4 linked regions of the Rattus norvegicus genome follow. The protein of the gene in region 4 binds, or shares a complex with, the protein of the main gene of each other region. Links are inferred from orthologs where the notes say so. Each region holds a gene or a part of one and is shown on either strand. Other genes may lie near its edges. The genes, in order: Timm21, Smim20, Cmc1 and Surf1.

Region 1 (4,378 bases), on a different chromosome or scaffold from region 4:
TCGTAACACTATCCCTCCGGCTGATGACCTGACTGGTGTGATGGGTACAGTGTTCTAAACAGTCACAAGAAAATAAATTTAGTAAGGTACTTGTTTGGGTGAATGAAGATTCTTCAGGGAGGCCCTTTTCCCGTGTCCTAAAATTCCATTCTCTCGCTGTAAGAGAGGAACATACTTTGGCTTAAAGGCACTCCTTGAGAAAAATGAAAAAATAACCTTGAAGACAGAACGGTCATCTTGCAGGCTCTTCCTTACACGTAATGGGAATACAACGAACCAGAACAGAGTTGCATAACAAAATGTGACTGTCTAGAAAACTTGGCATGGTGGGAGAGGTGCACAAAATGTCCTGTTTAGCATTAGGTTTTGATGAATACTTTCTACTCCGAGTTTAAAAGCTCTACGGCTGATTCTCATTTTAAAATCACTAAAATGCAAGAATACTACATAAAAGCCTTGTTCCGGGCGAGCAGTAGGTCCGCTCCTGTCTTCACATGTGCACTACTGTAGTCTCCCAGGAACTGAAAATAGCCTTAGAGCCATAGGGCCTACCAATGAATGAATGGAATGCTTGGTAACATACATCACTTCCTTAGGAAGTAACTTTACTTGTGTTCTAACTTGAGGTACCCTAGTTTCCAGGATAGACAGGTTTCCCTCTGCCATTCTAATGTTTCCCGCGTTTAAAAGTAGCAGGAGTCACATGCTATAGTAGAACTGATACTAGAAAGAGCTGTGGGGTGGGATACTGAAGAGACCCACCCGTGAGCCCCGAGCGTCACCTGAACCCGGAGCGCCCCGCGGCCAGCCCCGCGCTGCCCCAGGTAGTGCCCCCACCATGAAGGGACCCTCGCAGAGCCTGGAGGCCGAAACTTCCAGGCCTCAGCATCCGACCGCGTCCGGTCGCCATGGAGACCCAAAGGTACCTTCTGGAGGAGCGACAGAGAAGCCCAGCACTGCCCCTCACGCGTGCGCAAAACCCGGACCGGGCTCGCGCATGCGTAGACTGGGTTTCTCTGTGAACACCTCCTTTGCTCTTCGAACGTCGTTGTTCGGGACAATCCCGGGCCCGGCTTCTTTCCCACGCCCCAGTCATTCTGACGCCGGTTCTTGGCCCATTAGCCTGTTATGGCCCGGCTCAGCTACGTTTGCTAACTGTCTTCCTGAGAAGAAACAAGCGCTGAAATTGTCACTTTCTAATAACTATGGCAAACCCACGACATGAACTTCCCAGTTGACACAGTCCTCTATAAAAAGACTATGAGGACACGCAATTTGCAACTAATCCGACTTTTGCAAGTTCTGTCTAAGCCAAGAGGCCATTGAACCAGGGATACCAATAACATGCCTGCCTCAACCGGGCCACAGCGCACGCGCAACGATCCGCGCAGAAGCGTCTGAGAAAACAGGATGGGCCCTTTCTTGTTGCATGGCATTATGGGAGATGTAGTCCATCCTGCCTGCCTTTCCTGCAGTTGAACAGGAAAGTGTGAAGCCATTAAACTGCGATTCCCGGGATGTCTGGTGTTTCCCGGGATGCTTTGCGAAAGCATGGCGGGCAAGATGTGAATGTCAGTAGGACGGTAAATAGGGCATTTTAATTCAAGAGAGAGAAAAAAAATAAAGTGTACCTAACTTCTCTTGTAGATTATTCATCTTGATATTCGCCTGACACAGGATGTAATGTGAATGGTTTGGTTTCACGTCTTGTCCGCCTGAGTGTGTGGATTACGAACCTTTAGAAGTTGCAGTTCGGAAGTCTCACAGTGTTTGTGAACATGATTTGTGCTTTTCTACGAGTTGTTCGGCATGCGGAGAAGCTGCACGGGTCGTTGGGCAGGCAGTTGTTGTTGCCACACTTTGTACTCACCAAAGCTTGCTTGAAAACCCAGCCTTTGAGATGGGGGCTGCGAGAGCAGAAGAAAACAGTGCAACCTAGAACTGTCCTTGGGTTCACCCAGAAAACCTTCTGGACACAAGGACCGGACCCCCGGAAAGCAAAGGAGGACAGTAGCAAGCAAGTGTCTATTAACAGGAATCAAAGAGAGGAAACCGGTGTCTCAACATCTCAGAAAGGTAAAAAGAAAAAAATAGTATCTAGGACTTAAGACTGTCAGCTCCTGTGCTCCCCACTTCTGGGAGTGTCTGCACTCCAGTATAGGACCTACTGAAAGAGAGGTGGAGAACTGCAGAAACACAAGGAATAGGAAATTATTAGGTCACGACAGAGTGTTGGGGAGAACAGGAGGTTGAGGCGTTTAGGCCAATGACCTGATTTGGGATTGCAGGAAAAAATATGGTTATGTCTTAGTCTAGTTGTTATTGTCCTCTCAATTTGGGGCCTCATGCGGTGTCTACTGATATGTAGTTTATGACATTATGGACAGTGGAATAGAAAGATTCGTGTTCCAGCCCTCAGCTCAGAGCCTGGTAAAGAGATAGGATTTGTGAAGCAATTACTGCTGAGATCAGTCCCATAATATCTACGATTTTTGGTAGATGACAATCTTTCTATTATTTGAAGTAGTGTTTTCTTTAAAGATTTGTTTATTATTGCTAGTGTTGCTGGTGTGTGTGTGTGTGTGTGTGTGTGTGTGTGTGTGTGTGTGTATACACATGAGTATAGGTAAAGAAGGAAGCCAGAAAAAGTCATCAGATGCCCCTAAGCTGAAGTTACTGGCAATTGTGAGCCACCAGATATGGTTGCTGGGAACTGAATTCTGGATGTCTACAAGAGCAGCAAATACTCTTAACCACTGAGCCATTTCTCCAGCCCCCTGAACACATTTCAAGTTCACAGCCTGTACTGAAAAACCAAAAGTATGTTCTAGAAATGACTTCTAAATAAGTAATTTTATTATATGTCATTGTACCTATGAAAAAAGTAGAGGGAAAAAAAATACCACTTGTTAAACTTTGATTTCTTGGAAAAAATAAAAATTTAAAGACTGAAGTTAGAAAAATCTGGGTTCCTCATGTGACTGTACATACATATAAATGACCAAAGAAGTAAAGCGCTCTCATAATCAGACTTTGCTTGTGATGTAGCTCTTCACATATAACATGCATTTATGTAAATAATGTGTCTGTACTCACTCCCCTTTGATTGATTACCTTATCTCCCCAAACTGCTCTTTAATCCATGTGTTCATATACTTACTTAGTGCAGAAAAAAATAAAAACAATCTCTGTAAGTTTATTTGATTCATCAATCTTCCCAACCAACTACATTTCAATTCCAAGCTCAGTTCTTTGGTTTTGTGCACCACTCAGTGGGGTCTCTGGGATGGGTTAAGAGTTGCCTTGATCTGGACAGGATAGACCTGTGTACACGTTGCCTCATCTTGTGACCATTCTCACTCTGAGAGATCGATAAGGGTTTTACGTTACTAGAACAGAAGCAGTATCTATCAGCGACAGAAATCCAGAGGTTCCTAGGCCCCGTGCATAGCCAGGCCACACTAAACAGGTCTGTTCTCTTCTGGCCTTGGGAGCTAAGCAGAACTAGGCCTGGTTTGCACTGGAGTGAGGGGTTCTTCTGAAGCTTGGGAGCATTTGAGATGAGCTACTGAGAGCAGTGCTCTAGGTCTGGACCCAACTGCTCCCTGCTAGGAACACCTGAAGCCTCCAGAGGCCACAGCTCTGTGGATACACGTGTAACTTATTGACGTTTTCTCTTTGCAGTGAAAGAAGCCGGGAGAGACGTCACCTACCTGATAGTGGTGCTCTTTGGAGTCAGCATTACAGGTTACAGACCCAGCAAGCACTTGAATACCTTTCCACAGCCTCTCACCCTACTGCTTCGCTTCACTGCGTTCTCCCTCTGCTTTTTCAGGCAGCTTGTTATATACGATCTTCAAAGAACTGTTTTCCTCATCCAGTCCTAACATCATCTATGGGAAAGCCTTAGGGAAATGCAGAACACACCCTGAGGTTAGTTTTCTGATGATCGTGTGGGGGAGGAGGAATGAATCCCTTGTGAAGCCCATGCCTCCACACTGTACTAAGGCAGTGGGTTGCTTTTCTGTTTTTAGGTCTCTGTTCTCTGAGGCACTTTGACCCTAGCACCCAAAGGTCACTGCGCACGCTCTCCTCCTCCCCGCTATGCCAGTGTCTCTGGCATCCTTTGTTTTGTGTCCTAAACCACAGAGTGTAGCTGAGAGAGTTAAAAGTTGACAGAGACTACATTTAGGGCACTCCACTGTAGTCAGTGGGCATCCAGGGAAGAGTGGTCTCCAGGAGGCACCCCAACTGTTTTAGTAATCCCAGGCTCAGTCTCTCGGGCATGTTCAGATTAACACAAGTAGAACCGTACAGGATACATGAAAGAATGAAGTATTATTAGGATCGTAGCTTCCTAGCTGGTCCTTAGACTTCA
Region 2 (4,345 bases), on a different chromosome or scaffold from region 4:
GGGTCCACTTACCTATCAAGAGTGGGGGAGGAGCTGTTCCCCAAAGACATTTAGAGATGGGTCCTCTACTGCTAAGATAGCAAGTGCACACTACTGGGAGATCTTCCCTCCTGTGTTTAATTCATGTAGCACAAGACCCTTCTTTTTTGTGCAATCTTCTCTTCTTACCTAACAAGTTCCTGAGGGGGCCTGAGGAGCAGTCATCTTACTGCACAGTCATTTGTCTTCCTCCCTGCACTTCCGTTGCCCTTGGGACTACATCAGTCATCGGCAACAGGCTGCATCCAGGATTAGTTATCTTTTCATGTATTTGTTCCGTGGTCGGATCCTGGAGAGCAGAGGTCATGTCTTATTCATCTTGTGTCCCCCTTTGCACTTTGCCTGCTGTTCGGGGGGCATAGTGAGATAGTCTATAAATCTGTTGACAGATTGAACGACTGATTTATATGCTGCTAGAGCCAGAGGTAGATGGAATCTTGATTCGACTACAAAACTACAGAGAAAAAGACCTGTGTTCACCACATCATTTCTGAGAGATTGCTGATCTTCTCTGGACTAAATAATGTTGCTGAGGTCAAGATAAATACCTTCTGTGAAGCCCAGCCTCGCTACTGCTGTCATTTCTATTTCTAAGGGATTGAGTGAAGGCCAGAGGAATGTTGGTCTTAGCTGCCCAGCTCCCTGAGGAGATCATATCTTCTGACGAAGGCTCTGTAAAAGGGAACAGGTGCAGAGGTGGGGGAAAGCGATCGTGGGACGAGGGAGCAGGTGTCAGTCTTCAGAGGCTCCGCCCCAGGCAAAGAGCCAGAGCCCTAGGGACCTGCCACTGACTCTGTGATGTTCCCAGGCTTTAATAGATTTTGTTTGCAGCCCTCTGTTAGTTTTGGGAATTCCTGTCTACTTTCTGGAACCCCTCATAACCCAGCACACATAACATGGAGAGCAGAGAGGATGAGGGATCAAAATTAGATCACTTTGGGTGCTCAAATACCCTCCTTAAAAGGCTGCTCTGGTTCAGAAGACACAGTGACTAATTTTGCAAATGCCTTGCAATCCATTCGAACCAGGAGATTTGTTCCTTTGTGACTCGTGCCCACAAACAACTTTCAAAGAGGGAGACCCAGTGACTTGCTCAGCCTTTCAGATGCTTCTAGCCTGTCACCAATCACAAATGTCACAATGTTAATGAAGGGGAAGGGTGAAAAAGTGTTGTTGGTAATAGACGAGTAAAACAGGAGGTGGTAATTGGAGCAGAGAAGGAAGGACGCAGACCCGAGGCGAGTAAGAGGTCAAAAGGGGGCTCGAGAAAGGAGTGTAGCCAAATTTGTGACTGCACGGGCCACCCAGTGTCTCGCCCTCCACGCAGTCAGCCTGAGGCGAGGAGGCGGGGCTCGGTTTGAGTCTCCGCCCCATGCCTCGCCCTTCCTAGAAGACCCCGCCCTCAGATGATCCCGCCCCACTGCGAGGAGTCTTTCAGCCCAGGCCCCGCCTCCGAGCCCAGAAACTCCGCCCTGCACCCAAATCCCGGAAGCGAGAGTTGCTCCGCCTCTTCCGAGCCGGGTCGCGACCTTGAGGCTGGGAGTCGGGTTTCGGAGCGTGCCGGGCCTTCGCCCGCCCTGCAGCCCCCTTTCTCACCATGGCCGCGGCCCGGAACCTGCGCACCGCGCTCATATTCGGAGGCTTCATCTCTATGGTCGGAGCCGCCTTCTACCCTATCTACTTCCGGCCCCTTCTGCGGCTGGAAGAATACCGTGAGTGACCTCTGACCCCGCGCAGTGGCTGCTCCCAGCGCTACCCCGAAGTCTTTAAGCCCCTACCCTAACTGTTCAAGGAGTACTGAGGAAGGAGGTGGACTTAGGAGTGAGGCTACCCAGGGTCCAGGCTCGCCCAGTGCAGCCCGGTGATCTCGGACAAGTGGCCCCACCTCCGACCTTCAATGTTAAGAGTCTAAATAATCAGTTGCAGGATCAGCCACAGAACTGGAGCATCTTAGGGGTCACAGAGGTGATGTGTATGAAAGCAGCCTGCACACAGCAGGTCAACACTAACACTAGTTCACACACAGTTACTATATACTGAATATTTAATGTGTCAGGTTAGTCATATATCGAATCATTGAATTTGCACAGCCTTCCCTTGAGGTAGGTACTACCCATTTTACAGATGGAGGTCACACAGCTAGTAAGTGGTGGGGGAAATGTTCCAACCCAGTCTTCTGCCTGCAGAGCCCTCCCCTCCATTCACCCAGGCTGAGATGGTACTTTAGTGGGAGCCTTGATCATCCTGAGTTGAAAGGTGTTTTTATGGTGCATCATTGCCGTCCCCTAAGATGTCTTGGAGCGGAAATATTTCAAAGCTAAACTGTTAACCTGGGTTTTGAGTTTTTCCTCAAATCGTTTTTTTAGATTCTGCTGGTTTCCTTCGTTTTAAGCTGGTTGCTCACATGACAATGGTGAATGCCGGGGGAGTCATTTTTTTCCTTAATCATTCAGGTCCTATCATTCTAAAAGCCAAACTCTCCTTCCTGGAGACCTATACCTCAGCAAGGATTAGCACTTTGATACATCTGAAGCCATCTGTCAGAGAGGAGAGATGAGGCATTAGAGGATCATTTTGTTCTCCAGGAACCTGAACCATCTTGAAGATGAAGAGGGCCAGCCCAGCCCCCTGGGGAATATTAGCCGGAGCTGAAGCTTGGCGGTTTGACGCTTCATGTAAATGCTCTGACCATCTCTAGTGCTGTAGCACTTGGGTTCCAGAGGCAAAGCAGTTTCAAGTACACACACGAATCCCCTGGCAGCAGCTTTTTACCAGCTCAGACTGAGACGGTCTCTGTGCTTCCTGCCTACAAGTCCTTCTGCATACCCCGTGTGTGGAAGGAACATGGGCTGTGTAGGGTCCTGCAGAATTCGTCTCCATCCTTTTCCCTTGCTGGGTCCATGCCCCGGGCTATTTTATTACAGCTTCTAGAGTTGGACTCGAGACAGAAAGATCTGCTGTGGGTTCCCTTCGAAAACTCCCAGTTCTGAAAACGGGTATGGTTCTTAGCCAGTGTGCTATCTATCTGGAGTTGGTTTTGCTTGTCACAGCTAAGGGACAGAAGGGGAGGTGAGTAGGTTATTAGTATCTACTAGATAGGATCCAGGATAAATTTTCCATGATGCACAGAAGTCACCTGTGAGGAAGCATCAAAGGGTGAGGGCTGCCCAGCTCTTAATCAGTGAGTCAAGAGGAGACATGGCTTCCAGGAATACTCCCCAGTCTTTGGCTGACCAAGTTGCTTTAGACGGGCAGGTCAGGCTCCAAGGCTGTCCATACCCGCTTACCTTTTAGCTTATTAAAATAATTCAGCCAACTTTAACCAAAAGTTGTAACTAAATCTTTCAAGAAAGTCATACTAAACAGCTAATTTTTATCTGAAGTTAATTTTTAACACCCTTCCAAGCACTTCAACTCTACCAAGCCATTTAGTGCTCATAATAACCCTTTGTGGTAGCTGTTAGCTGAATGACATATAGACAGGGTATTTCCTCACTCTGAACCTTGCCCCCCCCCCCAGCCCCCTAGGCTGTGGTGATGGTGTTTACTGAACTGAATTTACAGGCTTAGGGTGAATTAAGTAGAGCATTACTTGTAGAAGTCTCTAGTATAGTCTCATATGAGGAATTGTACAAAAAGCACTTTTAAAAGAGGGCTTTGGTGAGGGACGAGCTATAAGCAGTTGTGTGCCTAAGGCCAGCGACCCAGCCCTAAGCATGTCCAGCTGGCTCAACGTATGCTCAGGAACTGGGAGCCTGCTGTGCAGGTGAGCTTCTCAGCCCATTTCAATCCTCAGTATTTATAGTATTTCACTGCTTTCCTTTCATATACTCAGCCTGGATTTTAGCTGTCACTTGGGTCTGGTACAGTTTAGATGTGGGGCAGAGCTGGGCTGACCCCAGTCTCTTCCCCTGCCACCCTTCTCACTCCGTCCTGGCCATGTGCATCTTGTGTAGTGTTTTAGCCCAAGCATTCTCTGCCCCTTTACTCACTAACATCACTGTTTTATCTTTACTCACCAACTCTTCGTCTTTCCCATGCGCCCCTCGTGCTTTTCTTGTGTGCATTATTATTTTCTTTTTCTTAAAGCTGAAAAGAAATGTGTGCTGTTGAGAGGGTGGATGTATGGCAGCTTATGTGTGTCAATTTCGGAGGACAACTCTGGAGTCATTTCTCCCCTGTTTTAACATAGGCTGTGGGGGTTGGATTTAGGTCATTGGGCTTGCATGGTAAGTGCTTTACCGGCTGAGCTGTCTTGCTGGCCCCGGTTGAGGTCTTTCTGAAATACACCTGGTACTAGTTCTTT
Region 3 (4,227 bases), on a different chromosome or scaffold from region 4:
AGGCAGGCACCAGTACAAATCCAATCCCTCTCACTACCACTTTGCTTAGTACTTTGTCCTTTCTCTAGTCTCTTCCACTTATCACAGTTGAAAACAATAAGTATAACTGTAATAATAATAATAATAATAATAATAATAATAATAATAATAATAACAATAATAAAAAGATAAACCTTCAGGGAGTGTGTTATCAACTCTGTAAAAGGGAAAGTTTAAAGAAAAGTCACATGAGAATACAGATGCTGCCTACATCTCACTCTTGGGTCCAGACTTTGAGAAAAACTGAAAGGAAACAGAATTAAAACGCTAGAGCTGGAGAGATAGCTCAGTGGTTGAGAGCACTGACTGCTCTTCCAGAGGTCCTGAGTTCAATTCCCAGCAACCACATGGTGGCTCACAACCATCTGTAATGGGATCTAATGCCTTCTTCTGATGTGTCTGAAGACAGCTACAGTGTACTTATATATAATAAATAAATAAATCTTTAAAAAAAAAAGAATTAAGATGCTTTATAGTAGAATTCAAGTCCCTAAACCAACGAGGTGTTCACCTCAAGCCCACTTTGACAACCTTCTTCCTTATGGTTCTTCTCGCCACTCTGCCCTGTCAGTTCAATATTTTTTCAAGCATTTGCCACATTGAATGCCCACCATGGCCCCAGCTCCCAGCTCTTTTCATGGTAGCTTCTTCTCTTGATATTTTAAAGCAAATGGTGTTTCTCCATAAAAGCTCTTAACAAAAGTAGCTCTCTCCTCACAATCTACTTCATGTCTTTTAGTGTCTGTGAACAAACAGGGAGAGGCTACTTTAGGTGGGGGTCCTTGTTTGTCCTATATGTTACTGTTTCCTAGGTTACAGAACAATATACACCAAGAACACTGAGCCACCAACAAGTTTACCAAAAGGTACTAAAATAAAGGCATGGTTGACAGTCTGGGTTGAGAAAGGAACCAAGTGGTTCGTAACAAAACTTGGTCTTATCAGACAATAGCTATGACGCCTTGAGCACACTGCACATTCAGACGGGGTTAAGAGAACTAGAAACCCGTAGGAGCAAGTATGAACTGTTTGTTTCTTACACTTTCTCATCTGTCTAAATAAAGATCCATCCAGGCCTTTAGCTCAGTGGTTCCCAACCTGTGCATCACCATCCTTTTGGCAAACTTCTATCTCCAAAAAAATTTACATCACGATTCCTCACAGTAGCAAAATTATAGTCATGAAGTGAGGTAGCAATGAAAATAATTCTATGGTTGGGGGGGTCACCACAACATGAGGAACTGTTAAAGGGTCTCTGCATTGGGAAGGCTGAGAACCACTGCTTTAACCTGAGTGTCCCTATCCCTATCTGTATGAGTATCATTTTCAAGGTCATGAAATACCAAAATTATATGCACTTTACCTGAACTTCCCTTACCCATGCTTCATTACTGCCTCCTACCTTCCAATCAAACTTGTCACCCTCAAATCAAGTAAGACTCTGTGTCTTACCACATGATCACTGCTCAACGATGCCGCTTCAAACTTCAGTCCAAATATTTTGCTTCAAATTGATAAGATCCGAGCGGTGTTCCGCAACTGCTTTATGCTTCAGATTATACTAATACACTTACAGACTCTGGTCAATTACGTGAGGTGCGAAGTAAGCAGGGTGCTGCAGTAGATGAACCAAGGTTGCTTTAGACGGTGCTAAGTTCTATAAGGAACTGACATTTTAATTCAAAGCTGACGGACAAAGGCGCCAGCTAGGAAAGAACTAGGAGGGGTGACTAAAAGCAGCGGCTTAACCTTTCTGAGCCTGCTTCCTACTCTGAAAATGGAGATAAAAGAACCAACCAGGCAAGTACTATTCTGGGACAACTGAATACATTGGCTTGATAATAAAATGACAAGTTATTCGAATGCTATACCTAGTTTCCATCCTATGTGAGGGCTACATGTGACCTTTCGCTTCAGATTCTTCAAAGGTTTGAAAGTCTCTAACCTATCAATACCTGGAGTTTTCCTATCCATTAAGACTAGACTCATTACCTTTCTGTCTCTGCCTTTTCACCGTTACTTAAATCAAGTAAAATACTGGGAGGGCGCTTTCTGAAAAACTTCCTGAGGACCTGAACTCGACTGCAAACGTAAGTGATGGGAATCATGCAAATTAAAACGACACGGAAGATGTATTGGAGAGCCTTTCCAAGAAAATGCCTCTAGCCAGTCAGTCGTGGAGCGTTTGTTACACTGACCTACCAGGATGAACTTGGGAGAAGGCATAAAATTACCGGAAACAGAATGTCAAACTGTGCACCAGAGTGAAACTTCAGTTTTCTGGGACAACTTTGTCTACACCCGATACTGTTTAAAAGGAGCCTGTGCCCCAAAGGAGGAAAGAAAAAAAAGCAAAAACAAAAACTAGGCGGTGAAGAGACTGAAGAGATAGTGAAAGTTGACACAAGGAATCCAACGCCCCTCACCGAGCAACTAGAGCCCCAGCGAGCAGCAGATGGACGGCCTGTCACCGAGAGTGGAAACCCAGCCGCCGGGCTGAATGAGGTGCTAACTGCGGAAGCCACGCATCCTTGGAGCACCTGACCCCTGGCGCCTAGGCCCTCACAACCACGCCGACCCCAGTACCTGCGGGGTCCAGCGCCATCTCGGAGGGCGGAGAAGCAGCAAGCCACTCGCCGGCTCTGGAGCCGGGACGGGGAGGAGCCTAAGCTGGACTGCGCGCGCAGCCGCTCGCCCGCCCGCAGCTTCCCGCAGGAGAGCGGGTGCGCGACCTCCGCTGTGAGAACAGACCACACCCCCTTCCCCTGTTCCTACCCTCGGTTTGTTCTACGCCTGCGCCCGACTGCCCTCTACGGGAATCCTGCGGTAGAGTGGGCGGGTTTCTCGCGGAATGCCCAGGAGGGGGCGTGGCCACGCATGCGCCTTCAAGAGGCTGCCTCAATGTGTGCTGCCTGACTTAGCACGTGGGATTTGAGACTTGGGCCTCTTATCTCAAAGGTTCTGAATGTCCTTCTGTCCCTGTCGGGTTTCGGCCTCAGTCTTGAGTGCCAGAGGAAAAGTAATAAAAATAAAGCCCTTATTCTTGACGCGTTGTTCCCGGGAGGAAAGCCACCTGCAGGAGGAGTCCTGTCCAGGAGACGTGTTTTGTGAACACACCCTGGGCAGTCCAGTCTGGGTGATGTGATGGATCTTGACTCTCCTTGAAAGCTGTGATCTGTTGCTGACATAAGGGAAAGGAACAGTTGCCCGAAGGTAACTTTCAGGGCGGCCCTTAGGCCTGTTTCCACTCACTGACCGACCTTCAGTTCTGGCTGAGTCTATCAGATCTCCATTTAATGAACTCAAGCCTCCAAATGGTGAGTAGGGCCAGGGACAGATGTTTGGGAAAACGTGGAGCAGCTGCCTCTTCGCTACGAGGGATTTAAGGCTTTCAAAATGATTCCCTTCCCACCTACCTGCAGTCCCTTCTTCCCTGCTGCTGAGTCTGCCTGGTCAGTTGGCAGAAAGGATACCCCAGTTGAACAGGCCTGGGAAAGTGCGTCTCTGCTCAGCAGGGCTCCGGTTTAAGGGCCTGTTTGGACATAACGCTCTCATTACAGCTAGAGGCTGAGGTGCCAAGGTGGAGAATTAAACCTTCACTCAGCCGGGCAGAAGTCGGTTCTTTTACTTGTATGTTTTATAAATGTGCTGAGAAACACACAGAAGCTGCTATGGGTCCCCTTTTTATTTTGCTGGAAGCGGATGAGTTAGAAAGACCAAAACGACGTTTTGTTGCTGCCGTTGTTGGATTAGGCAGATGCTCAAGCTGACCACTCGCTGTGTGTAACAAATACACCTGAAGATTTAGAGACTATGAGATGAGTTATAAAATCAGAAGTCGGGCATCCAACACTCAAGTAATCAAACCACATAGGCAAAACATATCTTGATAAATGGGATGCTTTTGGTCTGCTTCAGTTAGAACTGTGTACGCTCTCTTGAATCCTGTAGCCACGCCTGCGGCGTGAAAATAAGTTCCAGTGTTTTATTTCTGGACTTCGGTTTCATTTCCAAGGTCATTCCTAGGAATACACTCAAAACAGAACACACCTCATAAACTTTGAGGGACCTCTTCTATAGTTTCTGCCATGACTGTCACAGGAAACATGATAGTATTTCTACTTAAAACAGTTCACCTTTCAGAATATCTAAGCAGTTACTTGTTTGCTTTTGCCCTACCCTAGACGA
Region 4 (4,146 bases):
GCCAGGGTTTTTATAAATCAAAATATTTTATAGTGGTTAGGAACAGGTTCATTATTTTCACACACCTGGTGTCCGACGCACAAATTTTCGGAACCACAAGTATGATGTAGCTGCACAAAGTCCATACCTGTGGTTGAGAGAGATTAATTTAGTCAGCCTATTCAGTATGTTTGTGGAGGGGGTAACCAAGGCTGCAGGACTGACCAGGTAATGATGTACTGCATGTGCTCATTCCGAAGGGTTACTCTGGTTTGACCTCCAATGGGCCCTCCGGGTGTTGTGCTATCTGTAGAGACAATACAGTCAGTCCTGTCAAGCCCGCCCACCCAAATGAGGTCCTCTTCAGGGCCTGTCAGGCTATCCCCTGCTTCCCACCCCCCCAATCTATACCAGATGTCAGAATGAAAGGAGAGGTAGAAAGTTCACAACATACTGAAGTCTGCATCAATGAAGATGGGGTCCGTTCCTGTTCTCTTGGCCATAGCGTCCAGGTCCCGGTAATACCAGAGACTCCTCTCTGGGTTGTTCTCAGGAACAAAGGGCTTCCTGTTTTCTGTCAGCCTCACTATGCCTACTAGGTCTACTTCTCCCAGAACCTACAAAAGGCAGAATTGCTTTTTACAGAGTCCTGTGAAGACAAGGTGACCTATATACATCTCCACAGCTGAAGCGCCATAGGCCTTACCTGGCCTTGCTGCCTGGTCTCCGGATTCACTTTCTTCCTGGGAACAAACCCTCTATTGACCAGGATGGTGACTCTGGAGCAATGATAAAAGTGTCCCTTTGGGTGAGGAAGAGTTCCAATACAGATGGTCACTAATGTTCACTGAGTATCTATCTACTGGGCAAACAAATGGTTTTCTTATTCTATGGAGTCAGTCTTCACTGCTAAGCCTCAGAGTCTAAACCCTAGCAATGAACTGCCTGAGAAAGTTGCTTAGTGTTGGGAGACCTTAGAAATTATCAGGCAATGTTAGTTGGGTCTCGTGGGTTCCCTAAGGTCTTAGGGTTGATTAAGCATAGTAAGGGGAGCTGACAGGCTTAGCCATGGACTACTCACCCCAAGTCAGAGCAATGGAAAGGAGTAACAACATAGGCCCCACTTTCAGTTGAGGATAATCTGCCAGCATCACGTGCCTCTCGGACAGGGTCCACCATGGTCCGAGGCATTATGTACAACTCCTTGGAGTGGTCAAAGTGCCCCCTGACCTTCACTGGCCTGTACTCCAAATTTTTCAGTTCCATTGGGCTACAAGGAGAAAGGGGGAAGGGCTGTGGGCAAAGCCAGGCTTGTCAGAGTAGATCCCTAAGCAGAAAGAAAGGCTCGTTAAGGGCTGGAGAGATGGCTCAGTGGTTAAGAGCACCCGACTACTCTTCCAGAGGTCCTGAGTTCAATTCCCAGCAACCACATGGTGGCTCACAACCATCTGTAAAAAGATCCGATGCCCTCTTCTGGTGTATCTGATGACAGCTACTTATATATAATAAATGAATAAATCTTTAAAAAAAAAAAAAAAAGGCTCGTTAAGGATCAGACAGGTTTCGCCCTCCATAGAGATGGTCAGCAACCTTTGATGCCAAATGGAAATAGATAACCAGAGAAGGGAAGTGTGGCTACTTTACATACACTAACAAAAATGTGAGTTATACTCGACTTAAGAGCCAGCCTGAAGGGCAAAACTTTCAAATTTGATTTGAGGGGGGCAGTACAATCTTAGAGGACGTGTTTTAAAGACCATCACCTTCATACTATCATCCACCAGTGCTACAACGAACTCGCCGCTATGGATACCTTGTGACCTGAAAAGGGAAATATGGCACCGAAAATAAACCTCTATTTCCTGTGCCTTTGGCAACTTCATAAAGGCAGTCTAGCGGGAAACGGGGTTCCTGTCATAGGACAGAGATATACACCAAACAGAAGCAAGGGCCCCATTGCTGCTCCTTAAGTGGGATGGATAACGTGGGCAGCCACACTCACTCTGCAGGTAGAGGGATGGGCTCAGCCATGACTCGCGACTCTAATTCTGCAATCAGTTTCAGCTTCCATTTCCGGCGCTGGACCTAGAGAAACAACGTGAGCTAAGCAGGTATCAGTGGGGTCCAAGGCTCAGAGCCACCCAAATTCGACCCCAGTCTTCACCTGCCAAGTCCCCAGACCAAAAGCAGTAGCAGGGATGAAAAGCAGGAACCACTGGAGAAAAGAGTCGTCCTCTGCTTTAGCGGCGGCTGTTTCAGCAGTAGAACTGCAACACCTGTGTGGCCTACAGACCATCCCTGGAGGGAGTTTTACAACACTGGCATGGGGTCAGAAGTCCTAAAATAAACAGAACTGGGTGGCCAATTCCTCGAGAGGACCGGTTATACCCCAGAGAATGTATGGCAAAGGGGGCAATTAACAGTACCGGTGCCCAACCCTCTCCCGGTGCAATACACTCAGTATTGTATACACCACAACGGGCTGAAAAGACGGGTACTCCCAACCGCGCCCAGGTCTGAGCCCTTCTCACCTGAGCGAACAGAAAACCCAAAGACGCTCCTTCTGACCGCGCAGAACGGGGCCTGCGGGGACCAGACAGGCCGAGGTAAACCCAGAGACCCCGCCTGTCAAGCGCGAGCACCTGACATCGTCCAACCCAGCCCCGCTCAACTTCGAGCTATGTCTTCTTGGGCAGGGTCCTCCTCGGCTCCACTCCACTCCAGGCCCGGCCCTCCCGGTCCCTCTTCTTGGACAGGATCCTCTCTGAACCCCCGCTTACCGGCCCCGCGCAGGCCCACTGCGGCCATCGCGTTATCCGACTTCGCAGGACAGTCAAAGCCATTACAGCAGCCATCTTTGAACACTTCCGGGGCGGAGAAACCTGCTTCCTTCCGGGACCGCGCTCCGCCTCACGTGGTGGCTGTGGCGTCAGATGGCGTCTCCGATCATGGACGAACCACCTTCTGATGTGCTTGCATTTCTGCGTCAGCACCCCAGCTTGAGACTGCTGCCCAACACCCACAAGGTCGAAAGAGAACCGTGACGGGGAAAAGTAGGGCCAGGAAGGAACGGGACCTGGAAGGATTGGGACCTCGGAGGACCGTGGCCGGAAAGGAAGGGGGAAGGAGAGGGCAGTGCAGGGAAGGGGCGGAGCTGGCAAGATCCACCTTCTGACCAGCGGTTCATCCACAGGTACGCTGCTCGCTAACCGGTCATGAGCTTCCCTGCCGTCTGCCGGACCTCCAAGTCTACACTAGCGGCAAGAAGTACCAGCGGCTCTCAAGTGCCTTCTCTGCCTTCGATTACACAGCGTTCGAGCCACACATTGTGCCCAGCACAAAGAATCGGTACGTAGATGGCCGGCCAATGCCTAGGTGCAGGGCCTGTGCCCCCTGCTGCACACAGAGGCCTCCCACTGTGACACTTTGAAGACTAGGGCTTGTGGCCCTTGCATATAGTTCCCTGAAGCCAGGCTGGGCAGTGCCAGTTTCACTGTTTGGGAATCCTATTGGGTTGTGTGGTTGATATATCCTCACATAGAACTCCCTGAGCTGTTGGATCCTCAAGCATGCACCATGGAGCAGTGTGGAAACTGCAGGGTTTTTTTGGTTTTTTTCCCCTTGAGTGATAATCTGGGTCCTTAATCCCACATACTGAGTGGAACTGTTTGAGAAGTTGTTTTTGAAGGTAAGCCTGTGTTGCTTGGTTGGCCTGGAACTCACTATGTAGACCAGGCTGATCTCAAAGTCTGCCTCTGCCTCCTGATTCGTGAGATTAGGTAGCCATGCCCTTTTCAAAGTCCAGACACTGAGACTAAAAGCAGAGCAGCCCCAACAGACCTTTATCTGTTTTCGGCATGGAGCCATGATGGACCCCACAAGTCTGGGTCTTTGGTGTGCACTGCCCTTCCATACCCAACCTGTTTACCCTGTAGGCACCAACTGTTCTGCAAACTCACCCTGAGGCACATCAACAAGTCCCCAGAACATGTGCTGAGGCACACTCGGGGCCGGAGGTATCAGAGAGCACTTCAAAAATGTAAGTCACCCTCCAGAAGCTCAGGCCTTAGGATGCATGCCCCCTGCCCCCAAAAAGCTAGAAGGGTGCCTTGCACATGATTGATCCTTTGATACACTTGCTTAGTCTTGCACAGTGAGGCCAGTGGC

The links.
Region 1: Surf1 (region 4) and Timm21 share a complex: the UniProt entries of both Homo sapiens proteins name them as parts of the MITRAC (mitochondrial translation regulation assembly intermediate of cytochrome c oxidase complex) complex. The link is inferred for Rattus norvegicus from reciprocal best matches to the Homo sapiens genes SURF1 and TIMM21.
Region 2: Surf1 (region 4) and Smim20 share a complex: the UniProt entries of both Homo sapiens proteins name them as parts of the MITRAC (mitochondrial translation regulation assembly intermediate of cytochrome c oxidase complex) complex. The link is inferred for Rattus norvegicus from reciprocal best matches to the Homo sapiens genes SURF1 and SMIM20.
Region 3: Surf1 (region 4) and Cmc1 share a complex: the UniProt entries of both Homo sapiens proteins name them as parts of the MITRAC (mitochondrial translation regulation assembly intermediate of cytochrome c oxidase complex) complex. The link is inferred for Rattus norvegicus from reciprocal best matches to the Homo sapiens genes SURF1 and CMC1.

The regions. Positions count from the first base shown.
Region 1 is NC_086036.1:80,591,425-80,595,802, reverse strand, and holds the start of Timm21 (mitochondrial import inner membrane translocase subunit Tim21 precursor), read left to right. Parts: upstream 1-1,565; 5' UTR 1,566-1,778; coding exon 1,779-2,076; intron 2,077-3,684; coding exon 3,685-3,747; intron 3,748-3,835; coding exon 3,836-3,933; intron 3,934-4,378. Other genes in the region: Fbxo15 (F-box only protein 15), read right to left, coding at 927-1,096. UniProt on the Homo sapiens protein: Participates in the translocation of transit peptide-containing proteins across the mitochondrial inner membrane.
Region 2 is NC_086032.1:61,932,728-61,937,072, reverse strand, and holds the start of Smim20 (small integral membrane protein 20), read left to right. Parts: upstream 1-1,540; 5' UTR 1,541-1,636; coding exon 1,637-1,751; intron 1,752-4,345.
Region 3 is NC_086026.1:126,732,760-126,736,986, forward strand, and holds the start of Cmc1 (COX assembly mitochondrial protein homolog), read right to left. Parts: upstream 2,805-4,227; 5' UTR 2,645-2,804; coding exon 2,626-2,644; intron 2,615-2,625; exon of another isoform or gene 2,466-2,614; intron 1-2,465. UniProt on the Homo sapiens protein: Component of the MITRAC (mitochondrial translation regulation assembly intermediate of cytochrome c oxidase complex) complex, that regulates cytochrome c oxidase assembly.
Region 4 is NC_086021.1:30,639,861-30,644,006, forward strand, and holds Surf1 (surfeit locus protein 1), read right to left. Parts: upstream 2,851-4,146; 5' UTR 2,835-2,850; coding exon 2,760-2,834; intron 2,563-2,759; coding exon 2,511-2,562; intron 2,298-2,510; coding exon of another isoform or gene 2,278-2,297; coding exon 2,144-2,277; intron 2,065-2,143; coding exon 1,982-2,064; intron 1,250-1,981; coding exon 1,061-1,249; intron 759-1,060; coding exon 686-758; intron 597-685; coding exon 434-596; intron 287-433; coding exon 205-286; intron 128-204; coding exon 58-127; 3' UTR 13-57; downstream 1-12. Other genes in the region: Surf2 (surfeit locus protein 2), read left to right, coding at 2,913-3,005, 3,173-3,327, 3,915-4,018. UniProt on the Homo sapiens protein: Component of the MITRAC (mitochondrial translation regulation assembly intermediate of cytochrome c oxidase complex) complex, that regulates cytochrome c oxidase assembly.